Arabidopsis thaliana: one gene and its partners. The protein of the gene in region 1 purifies or fractionates together with the protein of each later gene. This does not show direct contact. Each region holds a gene or a part of one and is shown on either strand. Other genes may lie near its edges. The genes, in order: AT1G33600, AT1G78830, AT1G78820 and scpl35.

Region 1 (6,202 bases):
TTTTGATATTTGTAAATATATTTTCCAAGTATATTTTGGTATTTTGTATATGTTTGGTTATTCGATCTAAAAATAACTAATATTTTGGATATATAATTGGATATTTTTGAGTATCCAAAATATTTTGGTTTGGTTCGGGTTTGATTATAATCTTTTTCGGTTCTAGAATTTTGGACCTATTTGAATATTTTACAATTGGTCTGAGTTCAGTTTGGTTCTTTTTTCTTCGGTTCCAGTTCAATTCTTTCGGTTCACTTATTATGTCCAGACTTAATCCAGACGATGGACTGACTTGACTAATTATATCCGATAAAATCAGACGGGATTTTTGGATCGAGGGACCGGTTCAAGAAATTCTGGTCACGCGGGATCAGAAAATCCAGGTAAGTAAATTTAATTCTTATACTCATTAATTTGACTAACTGTTATGTGTATTTTGTAAAGTTTGGGTATTTAAAAAAAAGTAGAAAATTTGGATAATTTCTGTTAATTTTGTAAAAGTTAAATACATAAACGGAAATACGAGTATCTTTTCCGAAGTCCTCGCCGTTCACTTTAGTAGTAACATTTCGCGTATATGGAAAACAATGTCGGAGGGTTGAAATACTACTTTCACTAATACAATAATACGTATTGATTATCGTTGTTACATGTAGTGGAGCTTCTTGATGTCTTAAGTTAATGGTGTGTTTTTGTTGATTGAGAGAAGCATTCGTGGTAGCTATTAATAGAAGGAAAGTCATCGACTCTAGCGCTGACGATTTTGACCAAGTCATATGCATGTGGTGGCATTACGTGGTGGTATAATCCGTGATCGTTGTTGAGTTTAGCATCTCTGGATCCCTTGAAAGAGACAGTGTCTTTCATCAGATTATTATATAAATGGTTTAACATATCTTCTTTTTCTAGAATTTTGTTGTTACATTGTATTAAAACTCATAAGTCATATAGTTTTTTTCCACTGTCTTATTAGTATTTCTTTCTATCAAATTTAAATAAAATTTTATTTTTATTATGGAATTTAGTTAGGAAAAATAACCATTTTGATTTTTCTCTAACATCTATATATACATTTTTGCAGCCATTTTGTGAAATAAATCCTGGAGTTCGAACTTATTTACAATACCTGCCATTGCCTTTTAATTATTGGTTTTCTTTTGGCAATAAATTGATTAACAAACAAAAAATATTCCAAATATATTATAATCCCATATATCACGCAAATTTCTCCAAAATTTAAACTAGATTTCGGAAACTATTTAAAACAAAAAATATTTGACAAACCAAAATACAATTGCAATCCCTTAAAATGAGCAAAACGCACCTAAATACATTTCCTATCAGTTCACTAAATCTTATTTCTCCAATATTTGAACTAGATTTCGACAACCATTTAAAAAAAAAATTTGTTTGACAAACTAAAATATAATTGCAATCCCGTAAAATATTTATTTAAATTAGCGGTGTATCGCAGATTTTTTTAACGGGACGGGTTTGGTGGAACGAGTTTGGAAGGATATTACTTAATAACAATTGTAAACTATAAAATGTAAATATTTTATAGATAAATATAATTTGCAGACTCTTATATATACTAATTTTAAAAACAAATTGTCTCCGCGGTGTACCGCGGGTTATAATCTAGTTATGTACGTTATTTTCGTCTTACTTTTTTCAACACGTTATTTTAATCTGTCCAACAAAATGTTCGTTATTGACCTTAAATTAGAAGTGAAAGATTTGACTGTTTAGATTTAGAACGATCTAAGTGCAATGATCTAGACAGTGAAAATAAGTTGGCCTCAAGATGGTCAGGTAAACATTATGCTTTATTTTCTTAGCATAATCTAACATTAGTAGCTTTATCTATTTGCCTATTGTAAGAACTAAGAAAGTGAAAATTTAGATTGTTCTCGAAAATCGATTTGTTCAGTTTTCAGTTTATGGTAGTGACATTTAAGATGCATGCTACCTCTCTTATGAATGCCGTAGCGTTCATCGAGATCCATTTGTTTTTATAGCTTTGAATAATAAGGCAAATCTCAGTGTGTCTACAGTTTTAATATTTCATATTATTACACAAATAACTCTAGTTTTCTTGTCTACAAAGTCACCAGTTTCATGATTCTAATGGAACATTTATTCCCAAGATCTTCATTACTTCTTGGATGTAGGGTAGGTACCGAGAGTGAATGTATCAAACTATTGGTTTATATGTGATATTATTTTGTCTGTCTAGATTTTAGATATTTAGCTCACCAATGATTAGACTGCCCACAAAGTAATCAAATTAATGTTGGAAATTGAGAATAACCGATCAATAATTTGTTAAAACATCAACATGATTTATATTTACATGGCTATGTACTGTATTATCAAATTTCTTAAATATTATAAGGTTTTTTTTAAACAAAAAAATCACAAATTATGGTAAGTGGTCATAATATTATTTTTTCTAAACATGTTTTACTTTTTCTTTTAACTGACAAAAGTTCATTATTCTGTAACTTCTGTTAATGTTCTGTTAGTTAGTGTTCTGTTCTGTTATCTTTTAGGGCTGTACAAACAAAAAATGTTAATTTGGAGATCTAGAGTGTTAGTTTAATTAATTTGGAGGTTTATAATGCTAGTGAAAATATCTTGAGGTTTAAAGTGCTGCTCAGTGTTAGGTTTAAAATGTGATTTTCCCCTTAAATATTTTGTTATTTTCTATTCCAGTAAAAAAAATAAAAATCATGTCCATGTATGGCGTAGCCGAGTAGGCTAATTTTGTTATTACAAATCTTATTCAGAGCTATGTGTTACAGTACTCAACTACAAAATTGTACCTTTTTGCCGCTAAATTTTACAAGGAGAAAGCGGAGAGCCGCAGAGACAGTCATTACCGACAAACGCGCTGGCCGGGAATTTAGTCACTGGAAGCTTTCCACAAAGATGGTTATGACTCAAGTTCAATTTTTGCAGTTTAGCCACGGTCATTGGTACCTTCCCAAATATCAAATTCCTTGATAGATCGAGGCTTTCTAGTCTCTCACTTAAATTCAGCTTCCCCATGTCGAATCGAAGTTTGTTCCCTGACGCTTGAAACTCATATAGGTTATGCGCTAGGTTGAAGAACCATGTTAGACTCCCTGAGATCTCGTTTTCTGACAGATCGATGTAAAAGTAAATATTGGGTCTCACTGGCTTCCAATTGTCTAAGCTCATATTGATCCCGCATTTTACCAGCTTCAACGAGTACATGGACGGCGACGAGGTCACCCATTTCGGTATCGTTTTGAGGTGAAATTGGTTGTATGAAAGATCTAGAGTGGCAAGGCCATCAACGTTCTTCATGGCAGGGAGTGGACCAGTTAGAAAATTGTGGGAGAGATTGAGATGGAAAAGTTTAGGCATATTGGCTAAACTCTTCGGAACAACCCCAGAGAACCTATTTCTAGAAAGATCCAATGAGTCTAGTACCTTGAAGTTTGATAAAAAGGTCGGGATTGTCCCAGAGAGATTATTCTGGCTTAGATCGAGGTAATTGAGAATTGGTTTGAGTGATGCAATGGACGGAGGAAGATTTCCAGAGAATTTGTTGCGGGAGAGGGTTAGAGATTGGAGCTTCTGCATGGATTTGAAAATATCCGGTATGGTTTCAGAGAGACGATTGTTGCCAAAGTTGAGTGACAACAAGATCTTGAGATTAGCAAGACCTAAAGGTATAGTTCCGGTTAAGAGATTATCTCCAAGATTGAGCAGATATAACCGGGTTAAATTGGAAATGGAACTCGGGATCGGACCAGTAAACAGGTTTCCGTCGAGACTTAGTTCTCCTAACTCGCTTAGCGCACCAATGTTAGCTGGAAGAGGACCGGAGAGACGGCTATTCGTGAAGTAGACTTGTTTTACATTTGGTAATTGGAAAAGGAATTGAGGAAAAGAACCAGTGATGTTTCGAAGATTGGTGAAGTAAATACCAACAAGGTGTTGGAGTTTGGCCAATGACGGCGAGATAGTGCCAGAAAGAAAGCTTCCAGTAACATCAGATTGTCCGTTGATAGTGAGTCCGGTGACGCGGTTGGTGAGACAACCGACACCCTTCCATGAACAGCAGTCAGTACCTTTCTTCCAAGAGCTGAGAATACCCGTAGGATCTTGAGTTATACCCGATTTAAAAGCTAAAAGACCCGCCTCGTCATCAGGATGACACGTGGCAGCTTCAATGGGACTTAAACACCGGAGAAAGATAACGAATGCAAAGATGAAGAGAGGGAAGCAACAAGAGTTCATGGTTGAGTTGTGTTGATTGAAAGACACAATTGGTCGCTATTAATAGAAGGAAAACGTTGAATCAAGAGCTGCCGATTTTGACCAATTCATGTTCATGTGGTGGCAATAAGTTGTGGTAATATCCGTAATCGTTGTCGAATTTATTATCTCTCAACCCCTCGAAAGAGACAGTTTCTTTCATCAGATTTTTATAATATTTTGATGATTATAGATAAAGGATTTATGTATCTTATTTTTCTAGAACTTTGTTGTCAAATTACAATTGTTTTCTATCATGTTTAAATAATATTTTGGGCTATTATGAAACTTAGTTTGGAAAGAAATTTCATTTATGTTTTCTCAAAATGTACGTTATTTTTGAAAAAAAAAAAATATTTATTAACATGTTATTTTTGTCTAACAATATGTACATTATTGACCACAAAATAAAAGTCAAATATATCTAAGTACAATGATCCAGATTGTGGACTAAGTTGGCCTCGAGATGGGCCGATAGATTCATGCCTTAATTTTCTTAGCGTAATCCAACATTAACATAAGTAGCTTTATCTATTTGTTTATCGTAAGAAATTATAGTGGAATCTTAGCTTGTTTTGGAAGAACCAATTACTCAATTTTCGTTTATGGTGGTGAAGTTTTAAGATGCTGCATGCATTAGTCTTGTTTTGGAAGAACCAATTACTCAAACTATCTTTTTTTGTATAGTTTTTGAATAATTTTTCTAGGTTGGTTTACTATGTCTTTGTCTCATTGAATATGGATGCATTAGTCTAATCGAACTTTAGTGTTTTAGACAAAAAAAAAAACAATACTAAGTTGAAACCTACTTCAGAGATGGTCTAATTCCTCAATGCAGACGCTATATGTCCTGTGGATGACCTTGTGTTATGTGTATGTAAAGAGAAAAAAGAGGTTTGATACTAGTATATATCGATTACTTGGTTTGTTGTTTGGTATGTGTTATTTGTGATCAAATAAATTTTGTAGTGATGAAGTTATATGCATCTATCTAGTAAGGACTCCTCTTGTTTTCATCACTAGGTTTTTGTTAACCAATTATAGAACACTGAAGAATAATAAATTACGCATAGTTCTAAATAAGATATCACTATAACTTTCTTTCTTTTTTTGTATAGAGCGAGTTAAATTCCAGTAAACATAGATTATTTACTGCATCATTTGTTGCGACTATTCTGAATTGAGAACAGATTAGCCAAGAGTTGCATACTACATAATCAGTTTAATATATAAGCAAAAGTTACATAAATTGGAGCATGTTGTATCAGAATACTACTCTGTTTTTCCTTCTATTTTTTAAAATCATTTTTCTATCATGTTAAAGTAATATTTTAGCTGCTATATAAAAAATGCATAATAGTTGAGAACTTAAATACTACTTTGAGTACTTTCACTAATACATATTGTTAGAATGAAGCTTCTTCATAACATAAAACTACTTTATTTGTTGTAATCTTTTTAATACAAATTTTATTTGGAGCTAAACTTTATTGGTCACGGTAAATATCCAACTACCAGTTGTAGCTTTCTTGCCGCTTAAGCTTTACAAGGAGAAAGAGGAGAGCCGCAAAGACAGTCATTACCCACAAACGCACTGGCCGGGAACTTTGTTACTGGAAGCTTTCCACAAAGATGGTTGTGACTCACGTTCAATGTCTTTAGTCCAGCCACCATTGCCGGCACCTTCCCAAATACCAAGTTCCTTGATATATCTAAAGTTGTCAGCGTCTTTGCAAACGTTAGCTTCCCCATATCGAATCGTAGTTTGTTACCCGCTGCCTTGAACTCCACTAGATACTCTGTTTGGTTCAAGAACCTTGCTGGACTCCCTGTGATCTCGTTTTCCGACAGATCGATGAAATCATAGTAGAATGTTTGCGCTGGCTTCCAATCGTCTAAGCTCATCTTG
Region 2 (4,306 bases), about 17 Mb from region 1:
CAGGTTTCTAGATTTGGATAAGAAATCACTCATATACCAATTGAAGTTGGAATTTGACGGCAGGAAGTATGAGACTGAAGGATCCCTTTTCAACAAGTGGGTCGACTCAGTGGTTACCCGTGGAGTTCAGCATCTTGTGGTTGTTGCTAAAATATTTGGTTCTTGCATAAGAACAATTATTGTCCCATAAAACTTCCGGGAAGCATTTCTATGTGTGAAACATTGGTACACTTGAAGCTGGTCGAGGTAGGCATTGATAGTTTTGACTCCGTTTCTCTACCTCGTCTTGAGACTATGCATTTACTATCGGTTTGGTTTTCGAGCGAAGCGGCTCTAGAGAGGCTTATCTCATCCTCCCCAGTTCTTCAAGTTTTGTACATTGAAAAAGTTTGGAATGTGGAAGTTATACGAGTGCGGTCTCAGACACTATATAGCTTGAGAATGCGTATTTGGAAAAGAGATTTAGATTGGAACAAAGATTTAACAAAAATTGGGCTAGTGATTGATGCTCCTAGGCTTAAGTCTCTGAATCTTCAAATCCACCGGTTTAAAGACCTTGTGCTGAATAGTGTATGTTCTCCGCTCAAAGTGGATATTAGTATCTCTAAAGGAGAGTTTAATCCTATTAACTCATTGACGATGAAAACATTGCGTACATTTATTGCTTGGATATCAAATGTCACAAATCTTGCACTCAATTACTGTTGTCTAGAGGTATGTATATTTTTGTAACTATTCATCCTGAATTAATCTGTCTCGAAAACTTATTACTAATTTATTCTTCTTGGTTTTTGCTAGGCTATGTATGCTTACTCTAGCTCGGAACCATTGCCTCAGTTCTCTAACTTAACCCATTTGGAAGTTTCGATGGACTCCTCTTGTTTAAAGTTGTTACCAACGTTTCTCGCAAGCTGTCCAAACCTAAAATCTCTAGAGTTGGTAATTTTATTTTTATAAGTAACTCTTGAATTACTTAACTAAACTATACATTCTCATTACGTTTTTCGTTTCTTGTCCTTGATATTATGTAGTGGGTTCACGATCATCGTCTAGATATATTGGATATCTCAAGATCAACTATGCCTAAGTGTCTGCTAATATCGCTCAAGTTTGTTACGATATACAGCACAGCTATGATATCCAGCTCGGTTGAGAATCAGGTCGAAACCGAGCTTGTCAAATACATCCTGGGGAATGCAGCAGTTGTCAAGGAGCTTACTCTTCGATTCATTTTATGGGCAGAAGAACACAGGTTTCAACTTAGCAAGCAAATCCTTGCGTTTCCAAAGCTTTCTTCTGCTTGTCAAGTCTTTCTTCATTCGTCGTTTTTTTGAACTTGTTGTGAGGATCAAGCACAAGTGTAAACGTTATGCTTCTTAGGTGTTTTTAGTTTCCACACTTGTTCCGGTTAGACATCGTAATTTTTAAAAATTTTAAGATTTATGTGATTGGTAAATTCAAGATGCCGCAATATTATTGATATCGTAGATATCTTTGTCAGCCATTATTTGTTTGGGTTTCGTTTGGTGCACATGTAAAGAATAAGATACATGGATCTCTGCTACCCATAGATACGTGTACTTAAACTTTTAAATGAAAAAGCCAAATCTTGGCCCCTCGCAGTGGCATCTAAGAAAAATCCACAACTACATTTTTTCTTCAAAACTTAACTAAACTCACAGCTTCAAGTCTATTTTACCAAGACGGTGCTGTGATATTTTACCAATCCTCATTATCCTCTCATAGGCAGAAAATCCGGTTTCAAGTCTTCTAGAAAATGATAGTATTAAGATAAATGCATAAAAGGATTAATCATTTTCTTTCGACAAGAAAATAAATTATATGATATTCAGAAAGCAAAATAGTTATGACGAATATTCGATAATCTGCACTAGACAAACCTTATCCAAATCATAAGTCGCCATCGGCTCCATTGTACAGCACCAATTTGCTTGATCTCTTCTTCTTTAATTAGTCAAGTCGCAATTAGCAACTTTGACTTTTCAAACGAATACGGCCAATATTACAAAGCTAAACAACTTATATATACCACAACACAAGATACATCTTCTACATAATCATCTCACTCCTTTACTCACACAAGAAAACAAAATCATGTCTCGATTTGCTATCTTAGTAACCTTGGCACTTGCCATTGCCACTGTTTCGGTGGTTATAGCTCAAGTCCCTCCGGAGAAACAATTCAGAGTCGTCAACGAAGGAGAATTCGGTGAATACATCACTGAGTACGACGCAAGTTACAGATTCATCGAATCATCAAACCAGAGCTTCTTCACATCACCATTCCAGCTCTTGTTTTACAACACTACCCCTAGCGCCTACATCTTAGCTCTCCGAGTCGGACTCAGGCGTGACGAGTCTACCATGCGTTGGATATGGGACGCGAATCGCAACAACCCCGTCGGAGAAAACGCTACACTCTCACTCGGCCGTAACGGCAACCTCGTCCTCGCTGAAGCTGACGGACGAGTCAAATGGCAGACTAACACAGCTAACAAAGGCGTCACCGGATTCCAAATCTTACCCAACGGAAACATCGTCCTACACGACAAAAACGGCAAATTCGTATGGCAGAGTTTCGATCACCCCACCGATACACTCCTCACCGGCCAATCGTTAAAAGTTAACGGAGTCAACAAACTCGTTAGCCGTACATCTGATTCGAACGGCTCAGATGGTCCGTACAGCATGGTGCTGGACAAAAAAGGTTTAACCATGTACGTTAACAAAACCGGTACGCCGTTAGTTTACGGCGGATGGCCGGATCACGATTTCCGCGGCACCGTCACTTTCGCCGTTACAAGAGAATTCGATAATTTAACGGAGCCGTCAGCTTACGAGCTTCTCTTAGAACCCGCACCACAACCCGCTACGAACCCGGGTAATAACCGCCGGTTACTCCAAGTCAGACCAATCGGAAGCGGAGGAGGAACTTTAAATCTGAACAAAATCAATTACAACGGAACGATTTCGTATCTAAGACTCGGATCTGACGGGAGTCTCAAGGCTTACTCGTATTTCCCAGCAGCTACGTATCTCAAATGGGAAGAGAGTTTCTCATTCTTCTCCACTTACTTCGTCCGTCAATGTGGCTTGCCGTCGTTTTGCGGCGATTACGGTTACTGCGATCGTGGGATGTGCAACGCGTGTCCTACACCAAAAGGATTACTCGGATGGAGTGATAAATGCGCACCACCTAAAACGACGCAGTTTTGCAGCGGAGTCAAGGGTAAAACTGTCAATTATTATAAGATAGTCGGTGTTGAGCATTTTACTGGGCCTTATGTTAATGATGGACAAGGCCCAACTTCTGTGAACGATTGCAAGGCCAAGTGCGATCGTGATTGCAAGTGTTTGGGTTACTTCTACAAAGAGAAAGACAAGAAATGTTTGCTTGCTCCTCTGCTTGGTACACTTATCAAAGATGCCAACACTTCTTCTGTTGCTTACATCAAATATTAGTGTTTTTTTGGGAAAGTTATTTACCGAATTCTTTTTGAATTCTTAGAGATTTAATGAATAATCGGTGTGCTTGTAATGATCCACCGTTGAATATATTGTATTACCTTAAAAAAAAGCCATCAGATGTATTTACTATATATATATAGTACCTTTGAGAATCAAAATACCATGTGAAGCATTATCATTATTTTGTTGCCTCTGACAAGAGTTTTGTAGTCCACTGGTCCTCCACTTGGAATACCGCTCACTTGGTTCTTAATTCAATTGACTACTGAGGTTTGTAGATGGTCGTTGGGACTCATACTGTCAAAAGAACAGCAAAAATTTTGTCACTTCTCCAACTCATTGGGCCTTTAGGCTTTGTCATAGCCCAATAATTCTATCTTAATCGGACAAACCGTGTGGTCCACTTCCCTTCGTACATATTTTTTACAAGTTTTGTGGTCTTACTTTTTACTTTTTAGCATTACATGGGATAAAAAGTGAAAGCTTGCCCAGCAGCTATGCATCCATCAACCATCAAAATCTGACTCACAGTACTGTTTTGGATGTCTGAACTTACATAAAAGATTCGATCATCACAAGATGATTATTGTGAGTTTTAATTTTTTTACTGTTAAAGCTGGCGGAGATGTTTTTATATCTGTTAGCATTATCTCGGAAATTTGTATATATATATACGACAGTCTAGTGGCGGGTCAGATAAAGGTGGAATGTGTAGTCTAGACTTTAGAATATATAAAATTACTTTATGAAGTATATTTACATACAAGACGGTAAAATCGAGAAATTTATATAGCTAGTTTGGGAAGTGTGGGTACTT
Region 3 (3,953 bases), about 17 Mb from region 1:
ATGTGGATAAATCGATAATTAATAGGCCCATAAATAAAGCCCAATGGACCTTAAATTTTGTAAATATGATTCTCTCAAATAGAACCAGACAAATAAATCTATGGAGGTCCCAATCCCAAAGATCCGCGATGGACGCTTGCATTTACTTATTTAAAGTTTTGTCATCTACAGAATTCTAATGTTATTGGAGTGTATTAAATATTTGTTGTCAAAATTAAATAAGATTAAGGATATTCCTTTTTGGCTGCCACTGAGGCACTGACCAATCGTTACTAGAAAATTTCTAATAAACTAGGTGAATATCCATTATTCAAGGGTTGGTTGAATAGTTTTTTCTTTCTAAAATGATAGCATAACTTTTGTGGTTAAAAGAAGTATTCCCTTTGTTTATATTTAAAACAACAATTACCTACCTACTCTCCTAGGATATGATTCTTCCTAATTTTTTATAAATTTGAGTTTTTAATTTTCCTGCAGATACTCATTCAACCAAGAAAAGAAAAATCTCAGTAATCAGTCGTATGCATAGAAAAAATGGTCCCACGGCATAATCATTAACCAACAGAAAATTATGAAATGTGCAACAATATCGAGTTGTCTCATTGTTATTTATACAAAACAAAAGCATTAATTGAATATTGTATAAAGGACGCATTATAATGATCGACTATTAATTTCAATTTTGATAATCTGAAGAACATCAATATCATCCATTTTTATTTTGATAATATCATACTTGACTAGGACTGAGCATAATACGCGAGTCTACGAAAACAAAAACGGTGAAGCATTATAACAACACCAATTATTCATTAAATCTATGAGAATTCACGTTGGTTTCGGTTTATAAATCTCGCTAATATTTGATGTAAGCAACGGAAGAAGTGTTGGCATCTTTGATAAGTGTACCAAGAAGAGGAGCAAGCAAACATTTCTTGTCCTTCTCCTTGTAGAAGTAACCCAAACACTTGCAATCACGATCGCACTTAGCCTTGCAATCGTTCACAGAAGTTGGGCCTTGTCCATCATTAACATACGGCCCAGTAAAATGCTCAACACCGACTATCTTGTAATAATTGACAGCTTTACCCTTGCCTCCGCTGCAAAACTGCGTCGTTTTAGGTGGAGCGCATTTATCACTCCAAGCTAACAGACCTTTCGGTGTAGGGCACCCGACGCACATTCCTCGATCGCAGTAACCGTAATCGCCGCAAAACGTCGGCAAACCGCATTGACGGACGAAGTAATTGGAGAAGAAAGCGAAAGTCTCTTCCCATTCGAGATACGTCGCGGCAGGGAAATACGAGAAGGCCTTGAGGCTACCGTCGGATCCAAGTCTCAGATACGATATCGTTCCATTGTAGTTGATTTTGTTTAAGTTTAAAGTTCCTCCTCCGCTTCCGATTGGTCTAACTTGGAGTAACCGGCGGTTATTACCCGGGTTCGTAGCGGGTTGTGGTGCGGGTTCTAAGAGAAGCTCGTAAGCTGACGGCTCCGTTAAATTATCGAACTCTCTTGTAACGGCGAACGTGACGGTACCGCGGAAGTCGTGATCCGTCCATCCCCCGTAAACTAACGGCGTACCGGTTTTGTTAACGTACATGGTTAAGCCTTTGTTGTCCAACACCATGCTGTACGGACCATCGGAGCCGTTCATATCAGATGTACGGCTAACGAGTTTGTTAACTCCGTTAACTTTTAGGGATTGGCCGACGAGGAGTGTATCGGTGGGATGATCGAAACTCTGCCAAACGAATTTTCCATGTTTGTCGTGTAGCACCATGTTTCCATTGGGCAAGATTTGGAATCCGGTGACGCCTTTGTTGGCTGTGTTAGTCTGCCACTTGACTTGGCCGTTTAACTCAGCGAGCACAAGGTTTCCGTTTCGGCCGAATGAGAGTGTGGAGTTGTCTCCGACGGGGTTGTTGCGATTGGCGTCCCAGATCCAACGCGTGAAACTCATGTCACGCCTCGTTCCGACTCGGAGAGCTAACACGTAGGCGCTAGGAGTTGTATTGTAAAACATGAGCTGGAAAGGAATTGTGAAGAAATTCTGATTCGGTGAGTTGAGGAATCGGTAACTCGCGTCGTACTCGGTGATGTATGGGGCGTAGCCGGGTTCGTTGAGCACTCTGAATTGTTTCTCGGGAGGGACTTGGGCCATGACAACCGAAACAGTTGAAATGGCAAGTGCCGTGATTAGTAAGTAATCAAACCTAAGCATGGTTGTGTTCTTTATGTTTACTGAGATTGAGTAGTAGAGTGAGATGATTTTCTATATCCTTTAGGTGTATATATAAGATCTTAACTTTGGGTCGTTGGGCTGTATTCGTTTGAAAGTCCTAAGTTTTTTTTTTTTTTTTTTTTGAATGGTCCTAAGCTGCAAATCGTGTCTTCGTTATACAGATCAACCAATGGCTCATTTATGATTTGGATAAGATATGTCTACTGAGAATTTTCGAAAATTATCGTATATACAAAAGTTGTGAGTAAAACACTAATTATATATATTGTTGTTAATCCGTTTTTATTACACAAATTTTGTATAACTAATCTCATGAAAATTGTTCAGACAAAGTTGACCATCGTTTTTGACAAAAGAAAATTTAGATTCTCCAATCGGATTCATACTTTAAACACTTGTTTTTAAATATAGAATGTACTCGTTTAAATACTTTAAACTGTAAAAATATATCTAAAAATCCTTTCAAGATTGCAATCTACCCGATCACCATTTTGATCTCTACTCAAATTAGTGAATATTTGGATAACTAAGTACCCACACTTCCCAAACTAGCTATATAAATTTCTCGATTTTACCGTCTTGTATGTAAATATACTTCATAAAGTAATTTTATATATTCTAAAGTCTAGACTACACATTCCACCTTTATCTGACCCGCCACTAGACTGTCGTATATATATATACAAATTTCCGAGATAATGCTAACAGATATAAAAACATCTCCGCCAGCTTTAACAGTAAAAAAATTAAAACTCACAATAATCATCTTGTGATGATCGAATCTTTTATGTAAGTTCAGACATCCAAAACAGTACTGTGAGTCAGATTTTGATGGTTGATGGATGCATAGCTGCTGGGCAAGCTTTCACTTTTTATCCCATGTAATGCTAAAAAGTAAAAAGTAAGACCACAAAACTTGTAAAAAATATGTACGAAGGGAAGTGGACCACACGGTTTGTCCGATTAAGATAGAATTATTGGGCTATGACAAAGCCTAAAGGCCCAATGAGTTGGAGAAGTGACAAAATTTTTGCTGTTCTTTTGACAGTATGAGTCCCAACGACCATCTACAAACCTCAGTAGTCAATTGAATTAAGAACCAAGTGAGCGGTATTCCAAGTGGAGGACCAGTGGACTACAAAACTCTTGTCAGAGGCAACAAAATAATGATAATGCTTCACATGGTATTTTGATTCTCAAAGGTACTATATATATATAGTAAATACATCTGATGGCTTTTTTTTAAGGTAATACAATATATTCAACGGTGGATCATTACAAGCACACCGATTATTCATTAAATCTCTAAGAATTCAAAAAGAATTCGGTAAATAACTTTCCCAAAAAAACACTAATATTTGATGTAAGCAACAGAAGAAGTGTTGGCATCTTTGATAAGTGTACCAAGCAGAGGAGCAAGCAAACATTTCTTGTCTTTCTCTTTGTAGAAGTAACCCAAACACTTGCAATCACGATCGCACTTGGCCTTGCAATCGTTCACAGAAGTTGGGCCTTGTCCATCATTAACATAAGGCCCAGTAAAATGCTCAACACCGACTATCTTATAATAATTGACAGTTTTACCCTTGACTCCGCTGCAAAACTGCGTCGTTTTAGGTGGTGCGCATTTATCACTCCATCCGAGTAATCCTTTTGGTGTAGGACACGCGTTGCACATCCCACGATCGCAGTAACCGTAATCGCCGCA
Region 4 (6,697 bases), on another chromosome or scaffold:
AAAATATAGTCACAGGAATCATATTACAGTGAAGACTAAATCCTTTGAAAAGCCTCGAACTTTCTTCATACCCAACATCAAAAAACACGTACCAGAGAGGAAGTTTCAAAAATAAGTCAGATTAGAAGATAAGAACTTCATATATTCACCTGCTGAAATTTTCCGAAAAGAAACATCATTTTTGCAAACGCCATTCTTTTTTCTCCTCACGTTGAAACGACGGGCAGAGAAGAAGATGAATCGCAGGTGCTTCAGTTGAAAGATCTCTTTCGGTGATTGATTCCAAAAAAACGAACGCTACTGCCTCAGCTCCATGACTGGGTTTAATTTGTGTTAATGGGCCTTAATGGCCCTCTAAATTTATAATGGGCCTTAAGGGCCGTCTCCCCCTAATTTATTTCATTCATATTAAAATTAATTTGAAAATTTTCATTGAGTTCCAAAATTAATGAAGTAGACTACTGATTTGTTGATTATTGAAAATTGAAATACTGGAAATTATTAAACAACGAAAAACGTGCGTAGAAAGGTAAAAGCCTTATTATATAACTAAAAGTTGAAGAATCTTTATTCATCAATTGAAATTCATAAAATCAATTGGGAGAGTGCTAAACGAAGGTTCCAAAACAACAACAACAACTTGCCATCATGACTTGACGGTACTGATATCAGAACCGTTTTGAAGGCAAGGGGACAGAAGAAATGAAGTGAGAGAATAATGTGAGAGATTGCGCCGGAGCCAAGGCCGGAACCTGGTGACCGGCTCCTCTCACCGTGACAAAATTTAGTCCACCGGCATAAGTCTCAACCCATCCAGCTACTTGACTCTTGTGGAACCATGACCTCCACGGTGACTCGACCTTAAGTCCCATCTTTTTTATGCTATAACGTGTAGATGTTACCGGAACTCTCCCATCCGTATCTCCACTATAGCCAACATTGAACCAGTGAACATTAAACTAATTGACAATATATATGAATTTTTCACGTAATTTTTAAAACAGTTAAAGAAAGATATAGATACCTATAGATCCAGATACGGAGGCCACCCGTCAAAAGCTTTTGTATGATGGGAATCATGGTGGATGGAGCATCACTCCATCTCTTTATTACTCCGCTGAATCACACCCACAAGATCATATATATATATACTTTGTTCATTAGAAACATGACATTAAACTTAACATACAAAGTCTCTAGCTAGCTATTAATTTTAGTTAGTACCACGTAACGTAAGGAGGACTAACCTGCAAGGAGAGTACGGATAAGGAAGGTTGGTGACGTTCGCATGGAGTGCAACCTGCACATCTTTCCGGTTAAAGTAATTCTCGGCATAACTTTCAGTGCATGGATCGTACCCGGCCGGAAACTTGTCCCACAAATCCTAAACCATCAAAAGAGAAGAATTGGTAAGAAAAAGTAAGAAGAGAGATTATGGTAATTACATTATGTTACAATGATACTATATTGTATTGTAGATTACGTACGTCAAAAGTAAGGAGACGAGGAGACACGACGATTTTAGGTTTTCTTGGAGAAGATGACAACAAAGAGGAGAGGCAAACGGGAGTGTAGATACTGTATATATCGATATCATTGTAAGCATCCATGAACCCTTTGAAATTGTTGTAGCATTGTTCGGTCTTGTTGGTGGTATCTTCCTCAAAACTGCACGAGCCATGGATGCTGGTGTGGACCTCGTCCGATATTATAGCGTGGCTCCATGCGTAGTCCACTAGTCCTGCCATGTCTGTTGCCTCATTGATCACCGCGTTCCCTATCTGCAACATCAAACGAATACCTTTTATGTTTACTTATAGCACAAGAAACGTTGCTTCCTCGTTTCGCAAGTAACCTTACTAGTAGTATACATATATATAGAGTGCATACCATGAATCCCTTGAGATTAATGCTAGAGTCTTTCGTAACCTTCTTGTTCCTGTCGTAAATTACCTCCGCGAGCTGAGGAACATAGTGACCTGAGAAAAGAAGATCAAAAGCATGTGATTCAATCTTTGTTTTATATAATATTAATATACAAGATTAATTCTTTTATATTAGGTGATATAATTCATAAATCAAGAATTAAAATCGGATAAAGCACTTACCGGCGTAACTCTCGCCAGAGATGTAGAACTCGCTGGATCGGAACTCGGGGAATTTCATGAACCAGTTGATCAGGAAAGCAAGAGAGTCCGATGCAGTAACTTCATCTCCAAGCTTTTGAAGATCCATTGAGTTATTGGTATACGAGAACCCAACCCCAACCGGCGCTTCCAAGAACAACATATTGGCCTCTGCACAAACATTTTTTTTAATGTAACCACGGTTAATATTAGTATACATGTTAGCTAAAGAATTCAAATGTTTCTGATAGTATGGTAATAATTCATTTTACCTTTGTTCCAAGAGAAATGATTGTAGGTAAGTTTGCCACCGTTGTCGTGAACAAGAAAAGGGCCTAGTTCTTGTGCAGCTCCATAGGCTATTGATGAGCAACCCGGTCCTGCATATTTTGGATTTTAGTTAAACTGATGAAAATAATTTAAGAGTTTCACCAAATATGTAATAATACAATTCACTAAAGAAAATTGCTATTTTCAATTCCATCGCTAGATTTGTCAAGAAAATCCAAAACTAAACAACTAAATTTGTCGAGAAAAAATAAAATTAATGAGACTAGCTAGCTAGACGTCAGTATTTTGTCCCGAGTTGTCTATCAAGATTCAAATATCATTTTCGTATACAGAAATTAAATAACTAAAGATTTTGCTATTGCTCTTGATTACATTGGATTCGTGTGTACCCTTCAATCACGCAAATCCTATAAAGGTAATACCTCATTATTAACAAATTTCAATCTTTCTGTTCAAACTAGACATGTACACAACTCCACATTATTATTAGACATAGCTTTTTGTTTATTTCTAAGTGTATAATTGAATATTCAACATCTTATCCGATTTCTAGCCCCAATAAAAAAGACTAGGTTGATATTTCTCGTATCCCTAAATATCCTAATATTGGAATGAACCGTGTGGGAAAAAAGACAAACCGTATAAAGTAAATTCGTTAAATTGAATGTACAACTACCGAGAGAAAAAGAAGAAACAGACAAAAGATCTTTACTCACTCTAGAAACAAGATTTGGACATTGAATGTTACACAAAAAGGACACTGATTGAATGATACAAGTCCAATATCTGTCAGAGAGCCGGACCATATACGACTTCGTTGATATTTTTTCCAAATATGTTGTTGGGTTATAGTATAGTGTTTTATTTCACTGAATCTTCACGAAAAAATATGATGTATTTAAACAGGTTAATTTTAATTTTTGTGAATAACTTTTGTTCACTTAATTAGATCGAAGCTCATTTTCAAATACAACTTGTTTTAAGCTATGGTTTTGAGATTTCACGTTAAGAAAACGAGGACTGGACTATATTTGTCCCGAAGAGGCAAGAACCTACTCGTTCCACCGTATACAGACTACAGATTGTTGAAGTGCGTTCCACAAAACGAAATATTATTAAAGTAGGCAATTAAAATTTGTCGGCATTCCCAACTGTATCAGATTTGTTATCACTTCTCCATCAAGCAATAGTAAGGAACAAAAATGTTGAATAGTATCAGTGTATCACTTAATGGTGTTTCTGGCTATTTTTATCAAGCCATACACGGCATCTATAAGTTACAGATTATTAAGAATAGCGATATATAACTGTACAAACAATAGACTACTTTAAGTTTTGGCTATTTGATAGACTTGTAATTTTTGGAAAATTTAAAACAAAAACAACTGCATCGAAACGACCCTTTACTATCTCGTTGCGATACAATTACAGTAAAATTTTATTGTTACTGAAACGAAAGGAACTGCTTGGCAAGTTACAAGGCAGGGTAAGGAGACAGACGATGGAGTTTGGTAGGACAATGTACACAACTTGATGTTTTCTAAGAGTTAGCTATATAAATAATTAAAATTTTAGTCCAAATTCAATTATGTATCCAAGAAAATACAACTGCCGAAAACATTTCTCTATGTTTAGTGTTTTTTCTTTTTCTTTTTCGTGCAAGTTTTATCTATTATTTTCCCAACATCACGGCCTGCAGGCACAGAGTTTTGTGGTCAATACGTGATGGTGTGATTAGACATATGTATTAACCTAATTACCATGGCCCACGAGGCACGAGCTTGAGAGTTCATTAATCTTTCATTACACTGATTTTTTTATTGCAAACATAATCATCACATCATCCGTTTCAAAAAAGGTGCTATCATTTTAAAATTGGTAAACATATTTGTAAAACCGCAGAAACAATGAAGTTTCGAATGAAAATTCCAATTGAGAACAATGATAAGTTTGTATTACTACTTCAAATAAAATATACTTTATGTAAATGAGCGAGAGAGGAAGAGAAACTGACCTCCATTGAGCCAAAGGACGAGAGGACGACGAGAAGAGTTTTGTTGAGCTTCGAAGAACCAATAGAAAAGTGCCTTTTGCTTCTGTTCAGGCCCCAGATTCACGTAACCGGCGTAGTGTTTGAAGTTAACCGGTGGTTGGCCGGGCAAACCGGTTACAAGGTCATCTTCCTTCCTCCCAGAGGATGAAATTGTTACCTTCTTCTCCGGTTTCCTACCACAGGCTATCGCCGGTAACACCAGAATGCACAGTAGCCAAAGTGCGTTCTTCTTCATCGCCAAAACTCTTTCTCGTCTCTTTTGTTTCTTTTGTTCTTTTCAATTATTTATCGAAATGAAGAGCAGATGAGAAAACGCCCCCACTTCTTCTACTTTATACTGTCTTTTTTTATATTAAAAAAAACTTTAAAAGTCTTTTATTTTTCATGAGATTTTTTTTTTGATACTCACGTGAAAATGTTATAACAATAAACACATTTCATAATCATTTCCTTGTAATGTGCCTCCACGGTCTCCGATAACATGGTTGGTTCACTACCAATTTTCTCACCTTTTACAGAAAGATGGAATTGAATTTCAACGCTTGAGATGTCATCATCGGAGACTGAACCACATGGCTATGGAGATGGAGCCATCGGCAAATTAAATGCTTTCTTCTTTATTTTTCTTAATTCAGAATTTCATCTCCCAAAACAAGGTTTTATAAACCATATAATCAAAGTTGAATTCAACACACAAATTGCTCGTACTGTTTAGAAATCAATTAAAATTCATTAAATTACATGTGTAGTACTACCGTAGAGCTTTAAAACAACAGCATTGTCATATAAACAAAGCTTATGTTTTATGTTGATCTCAATGATAATTTCCAAAGAAAGTGGTTTATTCGCAATTGTCTCGGGAATAATTTATTGATGCTATAGTCACCTAGAAGAGGCCAGAGAAATTGGCGGCTTAATGAGAATCATTTATTGATGCTATAGTCACCTAGAAGAGGCCAGAGGGCCTGTAAGGCCCAAAATACATTAATAATGAGGTTAATGAAATTTTATATATATCAAAGGCCCGATACTTTATTGATAGGCCCATATGTTTTCTAAGCCCAAATTGTTCGAAAACAATTATTCACCAGATATATGCAGATAACCTAAATTCAAACAACAACGGCTTCACCGCCAGGTTTAAAATAGTACAGTAGTATCCAAAAAAATTCTGTTTATTTGAATTACTCACTATTAATATTCTTCCAATTCCAATTTCCACACGTATAAATTAAACAAGTTGTTTGACAAAATAAAATAAAGTGTATAACAAATAAACAAGAACTTAGGTGATCCGTCACTACCCACCTGTCAATTTCTCTTTTATCAACAATCCTCAAGTCTAAAACCCTAATTCTAATTTTCCTAATTTTCTAGTTAATCCCCTCCAAAAGATTCGTCCTTTCAAAAGACCAAAACGAAAACATAGCAAAACACGAGAATAAAGAGCCACACAAATTTAAAAGACCGTTAGAAAAGAGCAACGAACTTTTTTTAGCTCACCAAATCAAACCCAATTTCACATTGAGAGCCAAACACGAAACTTATGCGTCTTAAATCCTTCTTCCCTCATTTCACATTCTTCACCTACTAAATTAACTAACAACTTCATTATTTCTTATCTCTCTTTCTCTTTCTCTCTGCAAAAAAATTATACACACTCTGTTTCTTTGTTCCTTCTTTGTCACTATGAATCTTAGTTTTTCTTCTTATAATCTCACGGCTACTGCCGTGTCCTCTTCTTGTTTCGGAAGCGACGAACTTCTGGTTTCAAGGAGGCTGTTTTCCCTGAGAGATGTTCAGATTCTTGAGCTCTTTATTGCCTTTTTCGTGTTTGCGACAATACATTCCTTGCGCCAGAAGAAACACCAAGGGATGCCCGTTTGGCCGTTGGTTGGCATGCTTCCTTCGTTGATATCCGCGGTACGAAGCAACATATACGAATGGCTGTCTGATGTTCTTATCAGCCAAAACGGGACATTCCGGTTTAGAGGTCCTTGGTTTAGCACCCTCAACTGCGTTGTTACCTGCGACCCAAGAAACGTTGAGCATCTTCTCAAGACCCGTTTCTCTATCTACCCAAAGGGTTCTTACTTCCGTGAGACCATGCAAGATCTACTCGGAGACGGGATTTTCAACACCGATGACGGAACGTGGCAACGACAAAGGAAAGCAGCAAGTGTCGAATTCCATTCGGCTAAATTCAGACAATTAACCAGTCAATCAT

The links.
Region 2: the proteins of AT1G33600 (region 1) and AT1G78830 fractionate together in Arabidopsis thaliana (co-fractionation; one large-scale study listed by BioGRID). This does not show direct contact.
Region 3: the proteins of AT1G33600 (region 1) and AT1G78820 fractionate together in Arabidopsis thaliana (co-fractionation; one large-scale study listed by BioGRID). This does not show direct contact.
Region 4: the proteins of AT1G33600 (region 1) and scpl35 fractionate together in Arabidopsis thaliana (co-fractionation; one large-scale study listed by BioGRID). This does not show direct contact.

Annotation. Positions count from the first base shown.
Region 1 is NC_003070.9:12,178,849-12,185,050, reverse strand, and holds AT1G33600 (Leucine-rich repeat (LRR) family protein), read right to left. Parts: upstream 4,276-6,202; coding exon 2,839-4,275; 3' UTR 2,829-2,838; exon of another isoform or gene 2,451-2,828; intron 852-2,450; exon of another isoform or gene 844-851; 3' UTR 523-843; downstream 1-522. Other genes in the region: AT1G33590 (Leucine-rich repeat (LRR) family protein), read right to left, coding at 5,830-6,202.
Region 2 is NC_003070.9:29,636,318-29,640,623, reverse strand, and holds AT1G78830 (Curculin-like (mannose-binding) lectin family protein), read left to right. Parts: upstream 1-1,850; 5' UTR 1,851-2,115; coding exon 2,116-3,483; 3' UTR 3,484-3,806; downstream 3,807-4,306. Other genes in the region: AT1G78840 (F-box/RNI-like/FBD-like domains-containing protein), read left to right, coding at 1-139, 172-714, 799-939, 1,032-1,334.
Region 3 is NC_003070.9:29,633,545-29,637,497, forward strand, and holds AT1G78820 (D-mannose binding lectin protein with Apple-like carbohydrate-binding domain-containing protein), read right to left. Parts: upstream 2,388-3,953; 5' UTR 2,225-2,387; coding exon 857-2,224; 3' UTR 552-856; downstream 1-551. Other genes in the region: AT1G78830 (Curculin-like (mannose-binding) lectin family protein), read right to left, coding at 3,597-3,953.
Region 4 is NC_003076.8:2,655,244-2,661,940, reverse strand, and holds scpl35 (serine carboxypeptidase-like 35), read right to left. Parts: upstream 4,888-6,697; 5' UTR 4,706-4,887; coding exon 4,432-4,705; intron 2,507-4,431; coding exon 2,399-2,506; intron 2,298-2,398; coding exon 2,109-2,297; intron 1,980-2,108; coding exon 1,891-1,979; intron 1,782-1,890; coding exon 1,488-1,781; intron 1,385-1,487; coding exon 1,248-1,384; intron 1,118-1,247; coding exon 1,025-1,117; intron 928-1,024; coding exon 669-927; 3' UTR 504-668; downstream 1-503. Other genes in the region: AT5G08270 (C5orf35), read right to left, coding at 150-194; AT5G08250 (Cytochrome P450 superfamily protein), read left to right, coding at 6,160-6,697. UniProt on the Arabidopsis thaliana protein: Probable carboxypeptidase.